Arabidopsis thaliana: one gene and its partners. The protein of the gene in region 3 interacts with the protein of the main gene of each other region in a pairwise test. Each region holds a gene or a part of one and is shown on either strand. Other genes may lie near its edges. The genes, in order: AT5G24050, AT3G57800, LBD25 and WRKY43.

Evidence for each region.
Region 1: the proteins of LBD25 (region 3) and AT5G24050 interact in a two-hybrid assay, tested with the Arabidopsis thaliana proteins (one large-scale study listed by BioGRID).
Region 2: the proteins of LBD25 (region 3) and AT3G57800 interact in a two-hybrid assay, tested with the Arabidopsis thaliana proteins (one large-scale study listed by BioGRID).
Region 4: the proteins of LBD25 (region 3) and WRKY43 interact in a two-hybrid assay, tested with the Arabidopsis thaliana proteins (one large-scale study listed by BioGRID).

Annotation. Positions count from the first base shown.
Region 1 is NC_003076.8:8,127,530-8,131,885, forward strand, and holds AT5G24050 (plant-specific B3-DNA-binding domain protein (DUF313)), read right to left. Parts: upstream 1,874-4,356; coding exon 824-1,873; downstream 1-823. Other genes in the region: AT5G24060 (Pentatricopeptide repeat (PPR) superfamily protein), read right to left, coding at 2,744-2,848, 2,954-3,049, 3,166-3,318, 3,422-3,715, 3,804-3,941, 4,040-4,201.
Region 2 is NC_003074.8:21,406,971-21,414,167, forward strand, and holds AT3G57800 (basic helix-loop-helix (bHLH) DNA-binding superfamily protein), read right to left. Parts: upstream 4,643-7,197; 5' UTR 4,352-4,642; coding exon 3,806-4,351; intron 3,734-3,805; coding exon 3,620-3,733; intron 3,529-3,619; coding exon 3,463-3,528; intron 2,967-3,462; coding exon 2,871-2,966; intron 2,601-2,870; coding exon 2,556-2,600; intron 2,326-2,555; coding exon 2,257-2,325; intron 2,109-2,256; coding exon 2,037-2,108; intron 1,626-2,036; exon of another isoform or gene 1,431-1,625; intron 1,337-1,430; coding exon 1,064-1,336; 3' UTR 819-1,063; downstream 1-818. Other genes in the region: AT3G57790 (Pectin lyase-like superfamily protein), read right to left, coding at 1-118.
Region 3 is NC_003074.8:10,236,030-10,241,597, reverse strand, and holds LBD25 (LOB domain-containing protein 25), read right to left. Parts: upstream 3,085-5,568; 5' UTR 2,868-3,084; coding exon 2,784-2,867; intron 1,648-2,783; coding exon 1,252-1,647; 3' UTR 950-1,251; downstream 1-949.
Region 4 is NC_003071.7:18,955,063-18,959,050, forward strand, and holds WRKY43 (WRKY DNA-binding protein 43), read left to right. Parts: upstream 1-2,149; 5' UTR 2,150-2,191; coding exon 2,192-2,340; intron 2,341-2,426; coding exon 2,427-2,607; 3' UTR 2,608-2,863; downstream 2,864-3,988. Other genes in the region: KPHMT1 (ketopantoate hydroxymethyltransferase 1), read right to left, coding at 76-129, 227-580, 948-1,349. UniProt on the Arabidopsis thaliana protein: Transcription factor. Interacts specifically with the W box (5'-(T)TGAC[CT]-3'), a frequently occurring elicitor-responsive cis-acting element.

The DNA of each region.
Region 1 (4,356 bases), on a different chromosome or scaffold from region 3:
GGAGAAATTCGAATGAGTGTATGATTATAGAGATCATTTTTTTTTTGTTTTTGCTTTCAAATTGCCTAACGGTTTTTTCAAAATCCGAAAATAACCAACACTTGATTGGTGTATTTTAAATAATCTATATGGATTTTTTTTTTTAATATGGATTTTCGAAACTATAATTCACCTAGGATTTGTATTTTTGTATTGTAGTTTCAGAATTTCTACATTAATCATAAACTGACAAGATCCTAGACAAGAAAACGAGATCTTATAGATGTGCGGAAGCGAAACGTTGTGTTTGCTATTAAGGCTGAGAAAATCGAGCTAATCAACGTCCAAGTACGGTGTACTTATTCAAGTGGCTGAAGAAGCAATTGTAGCAAAACCTGTCTTGGCAACAAATTTGGTTCCTGATTTGATCATTTTGCTCTTCATACTTGAGTTTCAAAATCAGATTCTTACTGAGTAGAACAAAACACAGGTTTTGATTGTATCGAGCATTTCTAATGAATGTATTAAAAACACTTTTATTGATTGGATCAATTTCATTAGACAAAATAAGACTTGGAGATATATTACAAGGAATCGAAAGGTAACAATGCAGTAACTAAAGTAGACCAAACAACAAACAAGATTCATGTCAAAAATGCTAAGTTTTCATACTATAGTACATACGGTTATAATGATCTGAAACAATATATGGAACAAGTTACTAATAAGGAACACTAATTTTCTTAATCAAACTCTTAGACAAAAAAGAAGTCCAGAATCTCCTGAAATTAGATCGCTGTGCGTGTTGATCAATCAAGTTATAGTCTCAACCGACACAAGAAACTTAGCAGAGACAGAGAGCAAGGGAAGAGCTACTCTGTTCCATGGCAAAGCAGAGGATTCCACAGCACCTAAACGACCAAAGAGTAATGTTGTCGCCTTCTTTCAATCTGTTAGCCTCAACGATGTCGTTCCACCCACAAATCAAATTGTAACTCCAGCTTCCTTTACCTGATTCCTTCTTCATCTCCCATCTCTTTAACATCACACCCCACTTTTTACACCGTTGATCCACGAGAATCGCTCCCACTCCAATCTTGTTATTGTTGTTGATGTCTTCGTTTATGATTATGGACTCCACAGACGTCAGGAAATCGTTTCGGAGTAAGTTGTTGAAAGGCATTGAGAGACGGTTCTTTGTTGGGTTTACATCAGTCACGAACAGAGTCTTCTCAAAGATCAATTTAGCGTCTTTGGCTTCTTTCATGTTTGTCATCACCTTGACAAGCCACTCAGGTGTCTCTCTCGCCGTTTGTGAAAAAGGAGCAACATTTGCTTTCTTGACTCCACCACTACGCTTCCTTTGTTCCACAGCACGTCTCTTGCGGCTTGTGTTCTCCATTAGGCACAAAGACATAGTACATGGGAAATTAGGGTTTGGTGGGTCTTTCGTCTCCGTCTTTTGGTACTCAGCCGTCTTGTGACCAAAGAGTCCGAGTGAAGAACAAGGTTCTGAACTAGGGTTTTGTAATGTTTTTGTCTCGGAATTAGCGGCAATGAAACATGAAGAGGATAGCCCTTGAAGATGGTTTTGTGGGTCTTCGATCTCAGAATCGGTAGGGAACTGGTTAAGATCGATAAGCGATGAAGAAGTAGAAACCCTAATAAGATTTTGTTGTCTCTTCACCAAAGACGATCTTGTTTTTCTCGGGAAGAGACAAAAGATTCTCTTCTGGAATTCTTCTTCTTCTTCAGAGACAATCTTACGACGTTGTTCTTCTTCTTCTTCTTCATATAACATAACCGCCGCATCAACCAGTACACAGAAATTCGACCACAGGTCTTTACCTGAAGCCGTGAGATGATCGTCATCATCGTGATAGATACTAGTCATTGTGAATTTTTGATAGAATCGAAAACTCAAGTTCTTCTGAGAGCAAATCGTGAGACACAAGGAAATTAGAGAATCTGAGAGAAACTGAGAATGAGAGAGTCTCTATTGCATTATATAATAATACTTGCGCTCTCTGCTTACATCAAATTTAGGGTTTCCTTTTTTCTTTGAGTTTAGTTGTTTAATTACTGTGATTAGTAACTAATTAGCCGTTGTCTGATTTTATTTTCGTTAATAGCTAACCTTATAATTACGATATAGTCCTTGTCTCGGTATTTCCTTTTTCTAGGTGTGTGAGAGTCTCTCATTCTCACTTTATGAATACAAATGTAATTAAACAACTAAACTAAGATACAATCTTTTGAAGTGGGTTTTATGAATGTAAAAAAGTTATTAGTGACAAAATACAAAAATAAGAGTTACGATAAAGAGATGAGATTTATGTAAAACTATTTGGACAGATCATATATTTATGTATAAATTGGGATAAATTTCAATGCTCTCTTAACCCAGAGACTTGAAGAATTAATAAGGTCTTCTGTATAAATTGTATAAACTATATTAACCCAGAGACTTGAAGAATTAATAAGTCTATTAACCCTTAGACTTGAAGATCATATATTTATGTATAAACAGTGTCAAGAATTAATTGGAAAACAATGAAACAACATGAGACCCCCCCCCCCCCCCCCCACACACACACACACACACCAATCTCCAATAAGCCAACCTTGAAATTGCTTGTCTGACCACAAACGATCTTTAACGTTAGCAGGAGTGTTAGTTCATGTCTGACTGGTGAGGGCACTTTCATTGATACACGAGAAATTGCAGTTTGAATATGTTTCTTGTAGCTACATTATTAAGACTCTAAGATTCCTTTTGATTCGTTTGTTTTGGTTTCTGCGGCTTGGAAGGTGTAGAAGCGAATAATAATTCTCTCAACTGTCCCTCAGCGTTGTGTTCTGATGTTGCCTGCAACACAGAGTTATCAGGCCGCATTAATCTAAGTGATATCGTATGTATTATCATTGTTCACTAATCAGAGTCTAAGAAGATAGAAAACGAAAATCGACATACCCTTATCGAGAATGCAAACCGTAATGTCTCAATTTGCATTCCTGAGCAAATCCTAAGGTCGAAACCAAGTGAATCTATCCCAATGAGCTTCACTTCCTACATTGTAACACCATATGGATATAATCATGATTGTCACAGTATAGTCGTGAAAGCTATACAACAACTTCGTTTTGAAATTCCAGTAATGTAACGTAAAGTTCCAGTTTCTTTACCTCTGCTTGAATCCCATTATTTCTCCAACACAGAGATCTGAGAGCTTCAGTTAGTTTATCGCCATCTTCTTCTAGACGAGTCAGTATACCATCTGATGCACAAGCAATAACATCAGGTTGTGCTTTCCTGACGTCTTCCACTTCCACTTCAGTCTGTTCAAAAGCAAAAATACACAACCAACCAAATGCATGAGCTAAAACTTCCATAGAGCCTTTTAAAGAGTATATATTAAAAAGGGAGAGGCTTTATCGTAACCTGATGCCCCTGTGCCGTGATGAGCTGGATTCTTATTATCTCCAGCTTGTAGTACTGTATAGCATTTCTCGAATTTTCAACATGCAATATCTCAGATTCATTCTCACCAATGCCTTCAAATATCTCTTCTGAGTTTTCTCTCTCCTTGTTTTTGTCAGTGCCTGTAGATATACAACCAGAGATATGTTTTTGGATATCTGAGTGATCTTCCACAATGACAGGACTCAAGAGCCCTTGGATAGCAAGGCCAGCGGACGGCTGATCCATCCAATTTACAGGATCAGTTGAAGCAACCTAAATTTCAATAAAGAAACTAAGTTTTATAGTCTTCACATGGTGGATATTTGATAAATCACAAATCAATTTTTGGACTGCAAGTAACCTCGGCCATCCTCCTGGCAAAATACATAGGATGGCAATATCGCATCGTTTCCAAGTTTGCCCAGTCTCCAAGTGATTCATCAGAGTCTGAGACATAGTTATCCTCGTCATCTCCATCTTCTAGAACAGCAACCCATTCCTGGAGTCAAGAACACAGTATATTGTGAAGCATGCTAAGCATAAGACAGGTTTTTTCCATGTGAAGTTCCTCAATAAGACCACGAAAGCTTTTCAAACCTCGTCATCTTTGTCTTCTCCTTCATCCTCATCGCCCTTGTTTTCATCCTCAACTTCACTTTCACCATCTTCGATTTCTTCAATCCCAAAACCAATACCAGATGGACTGCTCAGCTCCATGTCCTTGATCATCTCCATCGTATCAAAACCTACTATTACTTGCTGCATTGCAAATGTCACTTATCACAGTTATATCTCCATACAAGTGAATAGAGAAAAGAACAAAAGCAACTGTAAAGAAAACACCATGCAGCAGAATCATTTAAACTAAAGAAAAACATATAGACATATACACAAGGATATAAAATAAAGCAGTG
Region 2 (7,197 bases), about 11 Mb from region 3:
AATCGGTAACGGAGAGGGTCAGAGAATCGCCGGGAAGTTGAATTTTTGAATATGACGTGTCTGAACGTGATTGGACCAGAGAAAAGAATAATAGTAACAATAATATGCTTCCCATCATTTTTTTTTAAAGGTCTTAATAATAATCTTATCCTATGTCTATGTGTGTAGACTTTATTGGAATTGATAAACAACTGAAACTAGAATTCCAGATCTCTTCTATGAGGATCGTAGTGTCTTTACCGAATCCTGGATAGTTTGATGCAGAATAATAAGCTATGAGAGAGTTTGTAAAAACAAAAACAATTAATTAGGCACAATAATAGTGAAATAATACTACAAAAACATCAAAAATTTAAGTAAACATATATGAGCAAATTGATTAAGCAAATTGATTAAGCAAAAGAATTAAAAAGTGAAACTTTCTCTCGTGTAGATTTCGTCTAAGGCGGTTAATTTGTTGAATCTTAGGCTGAGGAAGAGATCGATACCATCTAGTGGCGGGATTGATGATACACATCAATCTTTCTATACGGTAGACGCAAACAAGGCCATCACAGCTTCCGGTAACGTGCTTTGCACTCATATTTATGATTGCATCTCTGTTCTTATCGAATGAGTCAATTTAGGGTTTTTTGTTACCTAACCTAAACCATAATTCAAGAGGTGCATTTTCACTTGGTCCAGCTCAAACAATCTAAACATATAGTTGCATTTTGTTTTTGCTTCTTCTTTTTCGTGCAACTCCAATATCCAAAGGATGCCCCTGCTTCTTCTTTCTGTTTTTGTTTATCGATACTGATTTATTTCCCTAAATAGAATTTTTTTATCTCTATTTATTATTAGTAAGATATATATAACGAGATCAAAATGATCATATCCTACTAAATTCTACATTGTCGAAATCTGGTACAAGAATAAGAAACAATCATACCAGTGTTGTCTCTCTGAATCAAATGACTGATACCTTCTTAACAGATATCTATATTTATGATTATATTTATATAGAGAGAAACGAGCTTATACGATGTATATACACATTCATGATCTCTACCGTTTTCCCAACTTACAGCTCCATTTTGACCTGATTTGGGTGCAAATTAGCAGAAGCCACCATTACATTTTCAGAAACTGCCATCAAATTGCTGTTATCATTGCCATGAGCTTGATCCTCTTCTCTTCCCCATACCGGCTGGTTCAAGCCGTCAAAAGGCCATTGTTGTGTTGGTGGTTGTTGCAGTTGCCGGTGATGAAAGGACTGTTCGGTCTCAATGGCTTGCTGAGGCCAAGCAAGCTGCATTGGTGCGGCATTGAAGCTCCCATCCATTAAAGAACCGTTCTGTCAAAGAAAAAAACACAGAGCCAAAACCGGAAAAGATATCAGCAAAGGGATCATTCATAGAGATCTTGATCTAGTCAAAGAAGTCAACTGTTGTTGCTGTGTTATTATTATCCTAAAAGAACAAGGTTTGATGAGAGGGTCCCTGGCTATTTAATGGTGGTACAAGCTGTAAGAAGAAAGAGAGAGGGAGCATTTATTTAGTTTGGTCCAAAACTTTTGATGAGAATCCACAGGTGATCATGAAATTAGATAGGTCACTTTGAAATAACAAGATTTTGGAAGAGACCCACAGAAATTATTGAGGGATGAATTAACTTTTTTTTTAAAAGGTTCATCAAGTAACACATCCGACATAAGTCACAGAAGACACAGAAAGGTTTTACAGAACAAAGGTGGTCCGAGTTTTGACCCACTACTGTTATTTGCATTGGGTGTGTGTGTGTGTTGTGTATTTATTTTTCCCTGAGTTTCCTTCATGAGAGTAGACGTTGTGATCTTCCTATGCCTTACACTAAAATGGTCTAAATTAATGTTTGTATCAATAAATACCCCAAAAGTTTCTCCTTTTGTGATAGAAACTAGAAGCTACTCAAAGAGGTATGGTTAACTTAAATGAGAAACACATGAAATGGTTAAATTTTTCCTAGAGAAGACTAATCAGAATGACCAAATTATTGTTTGAGATTTTGATACTTACTTCTGAAGCCAATATGGTGTCGAGATTGAAGTCGATTCTGGGGTTTACCGCAGCAAGTCTCATTGATAGCATCTGTGGAAACACAAGTCACAGTTTCATGAGATTGCGGCACATAATTCTATTCATTTTCAAATTGTTTTGAGTTGACCCTTTTATTGTGCCCAGGGCTATTGTAAAATATAGGTATAAAGAACAAAAATTGGACCACGGAAAGTCTCACCTCCACTTGACGTTGTAATGACTGGACATGGTTAATGATTTCATCCAGCACCAGCGCGGTACCTTGAATCTGCAGGTCAAAGACTTTCTGATAAGCTCGGATTCATATTAGGTAGATCTGCTTTCACATACCAAAAATTCTTTCTAGACAGCTAACTATTGTTAAGATGATCCAATATTTCAACGAGAAAATACCAAGATTCCAAAATACACAGTGAAAAAAGCAGCAAGAGAATGACGTGCTAATCTAAAGCTATTATAATAAATGGTATCTACTACAATCACAAGTAATCAGTATACCCTAGGGGGGCTAAAGGAACAATCAATCAAGTCCTCACAGCTCACCTATAGAATCCAAATTTTAAACAAACACTGATGTTCCATATCATCATCTCTATCACACCAATAATTGCTGCTAACTTCTAACATCAGGGATGATTAATTAGCTGTCTGGGGGAGTGTCACATCATGTTTCCAACTAATTAGGTATGTGGGACTCAAAGCATATCAATTTTTGTAAAGGATCATTTGCTTTAATCGTCCTTCTAAGAGTCATTTTCTATTTTTCCTTGATAGATACCGAACTTGTTAGAGACGATACTACCCCTTCCTCACCTTCCATAGAAAGATTGCAACTTTTTTCCCACTTATCATCAAAAGATGGACCCCAAAACACACTTTGATCTTGATCTTTCCACCAAAATCTGTCCCCTAAACCCAAAACCTTAATGGCATATTACAGCTAGCACACTTCCTAAGGTCATTCTCGTCATTTATAGACTAATCTTCAAGCTCAACGAACACACTTATGGAAAAAGAATTCGATAAAGCAAGGTCCTATCACTTCCGTGTGACTGAGTTAACCTTAAAGCTAAGTGTGTACCCGTGAGATATTTCTCCCCACACGAAATAAAAAAATAAAGTTGAGATCTCTAAAGGCATTACTACACAATTACCCAACTGGCTACTTTGGCACACCAGGAACCACTTTTCTTAATAAAAAAGCAATTAAGCAATCCACTTTTTAGGAAGAAAAAAAAAAGTAGGTGTGAAGGATTAAGACCCTTAACAAAAAGACTAGATCATCTAATAATAAATTCTTACTTTTGGAGTGAATCAATTAGAGAAATATAATGTCGTTAATCACAAATGAAGACCTAATGATTGATTAACAAATTGATTACACGTCTATATCTAAGAGACAAACCTTATCACAGCCTGGGACCAGTTCCTGTAACAGCTTCATTCGTGCATTTATCTTCTCTCTTCTTGCCTATAATCCAAAAATTAGTGATCAATTAGCGAATTAATCAACTGATTAATACCAAAAAAAAGAAAAATTAGTGAAGGCAGATGCAAGTTACTCGTTCTGCTAAGCTATGGCTATCGGTTGCTTGACCACGACGAGCTCTAACGTGAACATATGGCAGCTTCTCGTTCTCTTCAGAGCTTTTGTTCTTCTTCGTCGAGCTTTTACCCTATAAAAAATCAATCTGATGAAACGAAGGATCAAATGTAAAAAAGTAAAAACATTTGTCTCTCACTCTAACCTTCTTTTCGAAATCTTTCCTCTTCCCATTTCGATTGTTCTGGTTAGGGCAAGGGATTTGATTCTCAATCGCTGAATCAGAAATCAACCGCTGAGATGAATCGGTCTCAGCAGGCTCCGTCTTGACTCTGTCGAGATTAGCACTTGAATTGGAAGGTACAGAGCTCGTCGGAGTCTCCCCGGAGATATTTCCGTTTTGTTGCTCAGTGGCAATCACCGAGAAACGAGCTGCTCGCTCCATGAGAACTGAGTTAGAAGGAAAAGCCAATGTCCCACCGAAAGAGTGAAGCGGCGGAGGAATCTCTCCACCGATCCCTGTCACTGCCGCTTGTTGAGAAGACGAAGAATCAGTGAAATGGAGAAGCTCCACTGCTTGTGTAGGTGGAAGCTCAAGCAAAGCCGTGAACGAACCGCCGGGGTTCTCGGGAGGTAAAGTCGTCACTAGTTGCCGAAATTCGTCACCGAGATGTAGCGATTCAAGGCCTATTGGTTCCCGGCACGGTCCAACACCGCCGGATCTAGCTCCAAATCCTCCAGTCAGATCCATAAACGGAAACTCACTGGAAATCTTCGAAAACAATAACACCAATAATCGAAACCAAATTCAGCAATTTGTGTAATCAAATCTCACGACAACAAAACCCTAATTGAGCCTCCAAAGAGAGCGAGAGAGAGACTTGAGTAGAAGACTTTTGTCAGTAAGCGAGTAAAATGCGGCGAAAAATAGAAAGGAGAGAAGGTGGGCAACAATGGCGGTCTGAAGAAATCCCTCCTTCTTCTATAGCTCAGAGAACTTGGCGAAGAAGGAATAGTTATTCTCTCTTCTTCTTCGTCTTCTTTCTCAAATGTGTGTGGAAGAAAAGCTTTTACACCAGAAGAAGAGTAGGACGAAAGCAACGTTAGCAGTGGAGTGCGTCTGTTAAATAAAGGCCACTGTTAGACAAAAGAAAGAGAAAACCAATTTTGGTTATTGTAGGTACGGTACGGTTCTTTTGTTATATATTTTGCTGGATCCCAATGGATATTACTTGGGCCTTTTGGGCTTTAACCGGTGACTTTTTATCTCTGATTATAAACTTTTTTTATCACTCCTTAATTTTGTAATTAGTAAATTTTTGAAGTATTTTGATACTATAATATAAAAATGATTTGAATAGGGCGTACCAGAAAACGGCACATATTTATTTAATCGAATCGGTAGATTAGATTTATTCTTCAGCAGGACCAGCCTGCTGTCTCTGACCACTTTTCTTTTTTTCTCGGTATAATAATTGGATTTTCGTATAGTATTATTATCAGTAGTTAATGCCATAAATGGTGTTACATCAGGTTTTCTGACTTTCCACGGACTCCGATTCCGGTGTCAAATTATTTTGTTGACCTGTAAATAACCAAGAACCAAAAACACTTTTTAATATGGAAAAATAATTGAGCTCAAAACACCATTTTAGTAATTATCTCAGCCGTTGGATGAAATCTACCAAGCGTAATATTAATTTTTTAAAAATATTTTATTTTTTTTATTTTTTAAAAATATTCAAAATTCATCAAGTATTAAAAACTTTAGAGTATAAAAGGCAAAAATAAAATAAAAATTGAGACGTACTAATAATATTAATTCAAAATATCTTATAAATTTATTAAAAGGAAAAAAAAAAACAATTAATGTTACTTCTTTAAAAGGGTGTTTTGGGGATAGAGAGGAAAATTTGAGGACAAAGATGAACAGATGGGTCCAGTGGAATAACCTGTTTCACACAATGGGCCGAACAGGAAATCCACTTATGCTCTAATAATCTGAGCCCAAATCCCAATTTCCATTTCATTGCAACAAATCATCGTTGCTTGATTATTTTGATTAGCCAATTTCTTCTTCATGTAAGTAAATCTCAAAACTGAAATTTAGTAAAAAGGTGTAGAAGTGGAATATAAATGTGCTAAAATATCGGTTTCACTTTCAGCGATTGGTGATGTAAGGTTTGGTGTAGTAGTAAAGTCTCAATCAAAGAGAGGAAAGGTACAATCTTTTTTTGGCATTTCCAATTTGGCAACGTTACTTACTCTCCCAACGTCCATTACTTCTTTGGTGTCTCAGATATTGATGTGGCCAATTCTTTAACCAACCTAATTCCTACGTACATATGTGTTACTCTTTCACATATATACACTTTATTCTAAATATAAAGATTTTGAAGCTATACGGCTCTTTTCTGTTTTTATTCAATTAGATGTCAAAATGAGTATGAAACATGCAAAGTCTTTATCAATAAGAAACATTCTAATTATGCAAAGTCTTTGCCATTATAAACGCAGTTCAATTTTAGATGATTTATCTTTATAAAATTTGTTCCCGAGCACAGTCTCGAACTCATATGAGACTAAAGTTTTTAATATTCACACATAAAACCTTTATAAAAAATTAAAGAGATATATTTTCTTTTATTGCTGAGAAAGCTGTGAGGATTATCTTCACAATACTTACGGCATCTCCAACACATCTCTATTTTTGTCTCTACACTCTATTTTTGCTTTTATTACACTCCAACTCATCTCTATTCTCACTTCCATTATAGAGATCTCTATTTTTTTCTCTATATATAGAAACAAAAATATGGATCTCTATTTTTTTCCCCTATTTTTCTTTCTAACAAATAGAGATTTCTATTTTTGAAGAATTATTGGAGTAAAAATAGAAATCTCTATTTTCTCTTCTATATTTACAAAAAAAAAATAGAGACAACCATTGCAGATGGTCTTATTAACGTATCACATTGGGATCATGATGGATTTAAAAGGATAGATATGGGCGAGACCACAAAGATTTTTCGGATGTATACGTGAAGCATGAAAAAAAAAAATGTGCGATGAATAAAGAAATATGTTTAGAAAATATTATAGATAATTCGTTTATATATGAGTGGGTCTGGATCCGCGTGTTAATCACGTGACACTGGCCCAAGAAGCCTCTCTTCGTAGTGGAGTGGTGTGGGAATTCCCTTCTTCCCATATTAAAATGTTTCGATGAATAAATGAATAGCTCTCTCTAACCTTCTTCTTTTTGTGTTTTAATGAAAATGTTTTATTTTTCTATGTAGCTTGCATTATTCGACAGCTGTTACAAACCTGACATGCATGGGATCCACACAACAACACACATATCTCTTTATATGAGTTATTCCCATTTCCCAAATTGCTGAGCAAACGACATCCGTAAGCAGAGTTAAGACTATTGAAAAGTGCATAACAATTATGGTTGTCAAAACGTTGTTTGTAAGTTGGTTTAGCTAATAATCATTATAAAGGTAGATTGTCAATGGAAATATAGTTGTAAAAGCATTTAATATCAAACCCCCAAAAGGAAGAAGCAATGTATCACAAACGATTCAATATCTT
Region 3 (5,568 bases):
CGAAATAATTTCAAAAAATAAGTGGTAAAAAGTAGTACTAGTACAAAAGTAATAGTGTTACTGGTTTTGGCATCACTAATTTTTATTATTAACAATAAAATGATTAGGATAAAACAATCGGGTTATATATGAGTTTTGTTTAGTTATTTGCTACTTGACTTGTATTTAAAAGTATATAAATTATATTAATTATTACTTGTATCGACAAGGATATAGACTTGTTTTTCAAAACAGATATGAGGCAAATAATGGATACAGGATCGAGTAACAAATAATCGTGCTTAGCCCTACCCGAAACTATACCGTATCTTAAGATACATGAATAATTGAGCTTTTGGTTTAACTTATTATTAGGGTATCATCATACTCAATCTTAAAAAACTATAAGCAATCTTACTCATCAAAAAGAAAAGTTCCATTTGTTATTTTCTTCTTTTGACAAGATTAGTTGATTTGTATGTAAATATATGTGGTTGTTAGTTCGCCCCAAATGACATAAAATTATAAAAGGACCGACTTTAAAAAGAGATTCCCTATGAAGACATGTGCCTAAATTAAAGCTACAAAATTTTGGTGTTTCTAAATTGATTAATTTATTTAAACTTTTTTCAAGTCGACAAATATATAAAATCACTCAATTAACTTAAAATATTAGCAACTTTGTGTTTCTGACCAGTGACTAGTGTGTGTAATCAAACAACCAATTATTAGCCTACATTCCTATGAGTCTATACAAAACCGTCGACATGAAATTTTATTCTTTTGAATATCATAATACAATAGTAATATTGCAATCACAATTCGTTGAATGCAACTTTATAAAATGCTAGAAAATCTGTCATTAATCAATGAAATATGTGTACATACATAATTTAGAACATAAATCTTTTAGCAGAAACTAAAAAACTTGTGAATAATGACCAATGGGCCACATGTAAATCAGTGGAGCTAGATCAAGTTAAAGAGAGTTATGGAGATATGAGCATGAGCAAGATCTAGTTATTCAACATCATCAAAAATATTCCTTGACCTCTCCCATGAAAAAAAAATTACAAGTTAAATTACACATACGCATAAGTATATACATGAAAATAAACATAAATATACATGCATGCATGTCCCCATATTTACACATATATACATACGACTAATAACACTTACCATCACATCAACCATCCTCTCTCTCTTTATACTTCTCCGCCGCTAATTTTCTCAAAGAGTGATGATGACTAATCAACTCTCGTTGACCAGTCAACCCCTCCGACCACCATAAGCCGACGTCGTTTCACCACCGAGACAACCAGCGTACCTCATGAGATCAGCATTTGTCTCCTCGAGTTCCCTTTGCAACCTCAAGACCTGTCTTTGGAGCACCGAGATCGCTCCAACGCAGCCATACACTGGATCTTTAAGTCGTGCTTCCGCCTCGTAAGCCAGCGAGTTGACCGCATCTTCCCGCTGATGGGGAGCCACTTCGTGGAGGATCTTGCTCACATTGCTTGCCCCGAATATCCGGTGGACGTTCGCAAACTTTGTAGGTTCCTCCGGCGGAAAATAGGGTGCGAATACGCAGTCTGACGTGCATTTACGCCGGAGGAATTTGCATGCTGCACACGGTGAGTTTGTGTAGTTCGACATATATATCCCCTGATTTTTCAGTTGCAAAAAAATGGCAAAAACGATTTAATCACATCATAGTATCTTATTAGTAATTCTCGAAACTACAGTATAAGATTGATATGAATTTTGATCCATATCGATCGATATTGTAATTCTCTGGAGTCTCTTCTTCTTCTATATACATCAATTATCAATATCTTATCAACAATATGTCTACGTACACTTTTTAAAAATTGATACAGTTTCAAATGTTTTATTTCCATTTTGAATTTGGTAACTAGCAAAGTAGCAATAAAATGGTATCATCATCAATACAATATAACTTACAAGACGTATGATGTTCTTAGTCTTTTAATCCTCAAAATTCATTATATTCTACGTAAAATGGTAACTAGAAATAATAGTCTCATCATCAATATAACTTAGAAGACGTATGATGCATGTTCCTATCTTATTATCCTTAAAATTCATTATTCATAGTGTTCTTTCTGCGTCAAAAAGATGTTATACCACCTAAATTTATATTTCAAATATATCTCAAACAAATATATACATCCTTGTCTAATGAATTAATTTTACATAATTATAAAATCTTGGGAAATTGAGAATAATCCATACTAAAAAGTTATTGGTGAATCTAACACACAAGACGATTATGGGAAATTATATAAACTTGTGTAACATTACACATTAAAATGTAAACGTCCATATGATATTCATAGTAATATGAAGAAAATGGGTGTCGGAAATTCGAATTACTCACACAGGTTTTACGTTTTAGAGCTAGTATTAGTTCTAAACAAACAAACAACATGTTCTCATCAAAGCACTCTCTGTCTCTCTGACTCTGAGTTCCCCACATGTACTACATATTAGTTTGAATCTTGAATTTATGACCGAGTTTTATTACCTGCTATATAGGATACTTTCACTGTATATTAGAAGTCCCGAATTCCTGATTTCACTTTCAATTGTAACTTCTTCTTTCTTTTGTAAAGAAAAAAGGTCGTCCAAATTATAACTTGGTAGTTCAAGACCAGTGATCAAATTTTCATGATCTAAACTCTCTAAATTTATATAATCAATCAACATATATAGAAAGTATATATATTATGCAAGTGTGAGTGAATTGGCTGTACAGAATGAAAAACTCTTGGTCTTACCTTTAAATGGATCGCAACAAGAAAAGGTCCTTCCTTGATAACTTCTTGAGAAGGTTTGATCTTCTTTGTTTCTCTCTTGGGCATTAATTATAAGAAAGGAGAATGAAAAATCTTCAAGTAGATTTTGCAATTATTGGGATATTTTTGTTGTTTTCAGAGAGGAAACCCTAGTTTGAGAGAAAGAGGAATCTCTCTAAGGGGAAAGTTAGAGAGATAAAGAGGAGACATGGGTTGGATATAGAGAGAGAGGGGCAAAAGGCATTTTTGGTGCGATGAGAAAGAGAAAGAAGATGAATATAATGAGATTACAAAAAGACAAATTGGCCTCAATTAATTGAGGACCTAAAATAGTGAACTTAAGAAAGAATAACTCTGACCGTGGCAAATTTTACTCCATTCAATTGCTTTTAGTAAATAACTAAATATACAACATATTTTCTATCTTATTTTTAATTTTGACAGCATAACGTATTTTCTATTAAATTTTAAAAAACTAATTTATAATTTTTGTCAACTAATTTATTAAAAAGAAAAAAATTAAACGAGCCATTAGTATATAATATTGTTTATATATGTGATATGATACGGTTCAGTAAGTATGTAAAATATAAAAGCGATAATTTGTCATGAAAAAATACTCTTTTATTATGTAACTTAAGAATATATGAGATAATTTAACAATGAAAGAAAATCAAATGATAGTAAACCAATACTTTCATGTATTTAAATTAAGGTACAGCCATATACCCTCAGGAGTCCGAACCATTTTATAAAGAAACTAATGATAAACCTTAATTAGTAAGCTATTAGTATTATTTATTTAAAACTAATGATAAACCTTAATTAGTAAGCTATTAGTATTATTTATTTACCTTTGACCTTTCCACGTTTTATTATTCCGTAAAAAAAAAATGTTTGTGAAGTCTTTGGACCACTTAAATATATTGTTTAAACTAAATTTCAGAAAGTTTTGGGATACAAACTTACAAGAACATCAGAACTATTGAGGATCTGAGCAAATCCGACATGTGTACTGTCATTTTGCTTGATTGAATTTAACTGTTAACGTCTTGATTTTACTGTTTACATTTCTGAAAAATAGTTATTAACTTTTACGTTCTTTTAATTAGTTGATGTGTTCATTCAAAAAATTTGACATACCCTGATGGTTGAGCCACATGCTTGAATCCAAAAAAAAAAAAAAGTTTCTATAGTGCATAACAAAGAAAAGAAAAAACTGTAATCAATTTCTATTTAAAATTATACCGTCATTTTCAACGAATATAGATACCATTCACAAAAAAGGTTGTTGTTTGTTGGATAACTCTTGTGGTTGTATTATAGATCTTATATTTCCTATAATTAAAATATTTAGCGACTTAGCATAGTATTGGTCAGCTACAACTTTAATCATCCAACGAAATTAAGACCTAAAAGATATACCAAACAAAGTAGTTGATATATAATTATATATCCTTTCTAATCCAAGTGCACTTACAAAATTAAAATGATATATATAAGTGATGATGATACCAAGGCATTATTGTTTCCATAAACATATATATGCTTCATATTCCATATAAGTGCAATATTTGGTAGCAAGTGCGTATATAGATTATACCAATGATTAGATAAGATAATCAATCATTGGCAAGCATTATTTTACGTATTTCTTGTAACGATACTTTACGTATTTCCTGATTAGATTTCAGTGTATACAGATATGCTTCATATAGTATGTGTACAAAGAAAGTATAAAAATAATAGAAAATTGAAAGAAAAAGTGAAGAAAATATGAAAAGAGAAGGACCAATTCAGATCGGAAAAGAAGAAGCACTTGAATACGCATGCATACAAATATCCCTATACGGCTATACATAAATATATAAGATCAGGCCTGGCGAATGAAAATGTATGTCTCTTATCGTGTATATAAAATAAGCTAATGTGGGTCGACCAAAAAAAGCCAAGACGTCCAAGAAACGAAGAAGCCAAGATAGTGTGTGTGCTAATTAATTATGTATCCATTTTAGAAGAATTCATGTATATGCATAATGCATCATGTATGTATCATGCATGCACCTAGAAGTCCTATAACTAGAAGTCGGTATACTTTAATTATCAATTGGACAATTGGGATAACAAAACCTGGTAAGTTCTCTATATACATATATAAACTTTATAAATAAATAAATAAATGGTTTAAATGTAAGTATAGCGTATACGAATAATGAAAATTAAAAGTGATGTTATACGTTAAATTTTTCGAACTAAAAATTTTCGATAATTATTTTGAAAGGAAATTTGACAATAGCTTAAATCCTAGAGAAAATTGCATGGTTGTTACAACAAAATTTATACAGGATATGATCGATTAACTAACGAATGAATCCTATTAATTGCGATTACTTTTGAGATTAATTTATACCTAGCTTGATCTCAAGTTTGTATCAACCCATAAAACCAAATGTACTTTTGTGATTTAGTTATCATAGGTTGGGGTTTTGTGGATTGGTTGTTGACGAAATGTATAATACAGAAAAATGTCGACGGAATGATTGCAAGTCAAGTGTGATATGTCCTCAACAATCATTACATAAGCACAATTATTTGATCAAAATTTATTTAGAAATAATGCACCTCTTCTCTTCTTTTGTTTTTGGCTACACACCTCCTTTCATTTCACCAAAAAAACACACACACCCTTTCTTACTTTATTTTTGTTAAACACCTATTTTCTTATTACATTATACATATACATCGAACCCAATATATACGATTAGTT
Region 4 (3,988 bases), on a different chromosome or scaffold from region 3:
ACAAGAAGCATGTTGATAACGAACGAACGAACAAGAGAATGCGTTTCGAAAACAATAATTGTGTCAGGATTTTACCTTGGCATGATGTGGATGTTGCATCATACCAAGAAGATCATGGTAAACTAGCACCTGCATTTCCAAGAAAACAATTAACAGGTATGAGAAATGCAAATTTGTCTCTTGGCTACACACAAAACCGGAAAGAACGAAACTTTTCAAATAAAACCTGTCCACTGCAGAAAGGTCCAGCCCCAATGCCAATGGTTGGTATCTTGAGGGCAGAAGTTGCAGCAGCAGCTACAGGAGGTGGAACGCATTCCAAAACAACCGAAAAACATCCAGCTTCTTGTAAAGCCATTGCAGTCTCAACAACTTTAACAGCACTAGCTATGTTTCTGCCTTGGGGTCTGAAACCACCAAGAACGCTAATCGCCTGAGGGGTTAGACCCACATGACCAATAACCGCAATTCCTGCTTCAACTATAGCTTTTGCAGCAGTGATCCTAGAAGCTGATCCTCCTTCGAGCTTAATCGCATCCATTCCTCCTTCCTTCAAAACCCTAACCGCAGTATCAACCGCCTGAAGCCAACATTTAAACCCAAAATCAGGTCCCTAATTTGTTTCATTGACACAAAATCTTGTAAAGAATCTACTTTGCATAAGCAAGTACTAAAGCTAAATCTGTGATTACACAGGCAATGACACATTGACACATAATGTATCATTTAAGACTTTTTTTATCAAGAATCCAATCACCTAAACATTTGATCAGGAAATGAATTGAACATTGTAAGTCCCACTGAGTGTTGTGATTAATTCAGGTATTGAAATTGCAATCAAGAATCTAATTACCTACACAAAAATTAAGCAGAAGAACATGCCTTATCAACAAATATGTTTAATTTAGGTATCTAGAAGAAAAAAAGATTCAATTTTATAACATTACCTGACTAGAGCTTGACTCGTAGGTACCAAATGGCAAGTCACCAACTAGGAGAGGTCGTTTAGCGCCTCGAGCAACGGCACGACAATGAACAAGCATCTCGTCTAAGGAGATAGGAAGTGTTGTGTCGTGACCATGAACAACCATGGAAGCTGAGTCACCGACAAGACAAACATCGATACCAGCTGTGTCTAAATGAACGGCGGATGGGTAATCGTAGGCAGTTACGACGGTGATCGGTTCTCCTCTCCGGTGTTTTTGTCTGAGATGCGTTAGCGTCACTCTTTGGTTTGGGTTTTGTGGCTTTGGTCCTCCGTAGACGGTGTTTTCCGGTAGGTTACTCATGAAACGGACAGAGATGGCTTTTGAGAAGCGAGAGCAATTCCTAGTGAGTGAGGACGCCATTGTTGTGAAGATGAAGAAACCCTCTTATCTGTGACTGTGTCTGTGTTTACAAGAACAAGGAATTTTACTTTTAAGAAGATTCAATTCCTAGTGAGTGAGGACGCTGTTTAGATTCTGGCAAGTGGCGATTCAGTTCTGGGTTTCACACACAAATCAAGCATAGCAATGACACTGTTAGGAATTGTGATAGCTTAACTATAAATTCAATATTTTAACGAAATCAACAAGATCCGTTGTAGTCTAGCTGGTCAGGATACTCGGCTCTCACCCGAGAGACCCGGGTTCGAGTCCCGGCAACGGAGATAGTTTTAAAATATCTTTACTATATTAAACCGGATTTTGGTTCAGTCTGGTTATGTTAACCCAGTCTCTGTTTCTCTCTAGGCTCTAGCCTAACCCAGTCTCTGTTTCGATCTTATTGAACTTCTGTTCCAAAGGCGATTCCTTTTTTATTTTTCCGTTTCTGGGTTTAGATAGAGAAATGTAGAGATTGAGATCGCGGTTACTAGTTGGAACTCTCTTGGAGTTGGAGAGCATCCGAGGGTTCTGCACGAGCTCCTTTAAGATCGTAGCTTCGGTTCTTTTTTATGAGATTGCGCATTGTGATACCAAAACCGGATTCTACTGTTTACAGTTTCCAGGAGTTCAAGTAAAGACCAAACCATGTCTCTGTTTTTTAAGTCACACACGTGTGAGATGACGTGAAGGAATTTTTTGTTGTTGTTGGTCTGAAGTAGTTGAATGTAGTTGGCTTCTAAACCTTTTTATATATCTCTTCAATATAAATCACACGAAGAATTCTAACACACAATTCGTTGATTCATCATATCTCCTCTTCATTAATGAATGGCCTCGTCGACTCTTCTCGAGATAAGAAGATGAAAAATCCGCGATTTTCGTTTCGCACAAAGAGTGATGCAGATATTCTCGATGATGGTTATCGATGGAGAAAGTACGGTCAGAAATCCGTCAAGAACAGCTTGTATCCCAGGTAAACTTTTTAACATAAATAATCTGAAATTGTTTTTAAAAAGATTGTTTTTTTGTGTGTTTCTTCTCACTTATGATCATCAAAAGGAGCTATTATAGATGCACACAACACATGTGTAACGTGAAGAAGCAAGTTCAGAGGCTGTCGAAGGAGACGAGCATTGTGGAGACAACTTATGAAGGAATCCATAACCATCCTTGTGAGGAGCTCATGCAAACCCTAACTCCTCTTCTTCATCAATTGCAGTTCCTCTCTAAGTTCACCTAATTATGTTTGTATATATATTAACGTTCTAAGAGCATCTCCAATGGAAGTATCTCAATGAGATACCTAACAAAAGAAAAAAAATTAAAAAAAAAATATGAGAGAAGGGAGAAAAAGTAGGAGAGAAGGAGAGTTAAATTTCTCGGATGATTGGACAGGTGTAATCACACTATTAGTTCAACTATTAAATAATAATTAATGTATCTGTTTTGATTAAAATATTAATTAATATGTTTTTGAGAAACTTTCTTTATTTTTACTGGTGGAGATGGTCTAATGTTCCATGGTTCATATAACGGAGCAAATTAAAGCATTGTAATCATATATGTTTGCATGTTCATAGTTGCAATCTCGTTTTGATTATAAATCAGTTTTAAGCATATAACCAAAATAAAAAAACAAATCAATTGTAATATTCCGGTAAAACGATTACCACGTGATGATTATAGAGAGGCATAGAGCAATATCGTCTGGTAAACTGAATAAAACCGGATTTGGTTTCCATAGATTTTTCTCAAGCCAAATCAGTTTCCTTTCGTTTGAATAAACCTATTGGCTTATCGTGAGTGATTATTGTTTTGTTTATTTACACGATGAACAATGTCAATGAGACATGTCACATGTACGAAGTCAGTTCCGATATATTACATGAATTGCTTTCAAGTTTTGATCAGCATCCTTAAATAGTCACCGAAAATAAGAAGCGAACAAGTCTTGGCGAAGTTGAAGCCACAAAGTGTACTAATAAATATGGATTGCCGAATTAAAAGAAGAAACAAAAAAACTACATTTTCATATTTTTTTTCTTCTTCCATATATAAATCCACTTTTCAACTTAAGCAAATGCAATCAATGGGAAGGTAAGTATGTATACCTCTAAATCTCAAATAATCTTTAAAATTATAAAATATATATGTTTTGACTAATTTTAGGAAGATAAAATAATCTCTTATATTTTCATCTTCTTGGGATTATTTACCAAAAATTAATGTTTAGAAAGTAGTACTACTCAACATGTAGTTGTTAAATATCTTTAAAGTTTAAGTTTTGATAATGTTAAAATCTATTAAAAATAATTGGTCATAATAGTAAAACAACTAATAATTAATTTTTTAGGATATTGCTTAAAAGTTAAAACATATTGCTAATTTAAAAGTCATAATATACAAAATATAATTGTAGTATATTCTATAATAAACATGTTTCATCTTTTTTTCGGACGAGCAAAGAAGTAAGAACGCACGTTATGACCATGATGCTCTAAAAAAAGGATCTTATTCCTTTTCTAATGATGGAAAAATTATTATATTATTCCTTTTCCAACAACCAAAGAAAAATCAAAAATGTCACGCTCCGGCAATTAAGGTATTTATCATCCTTAAAA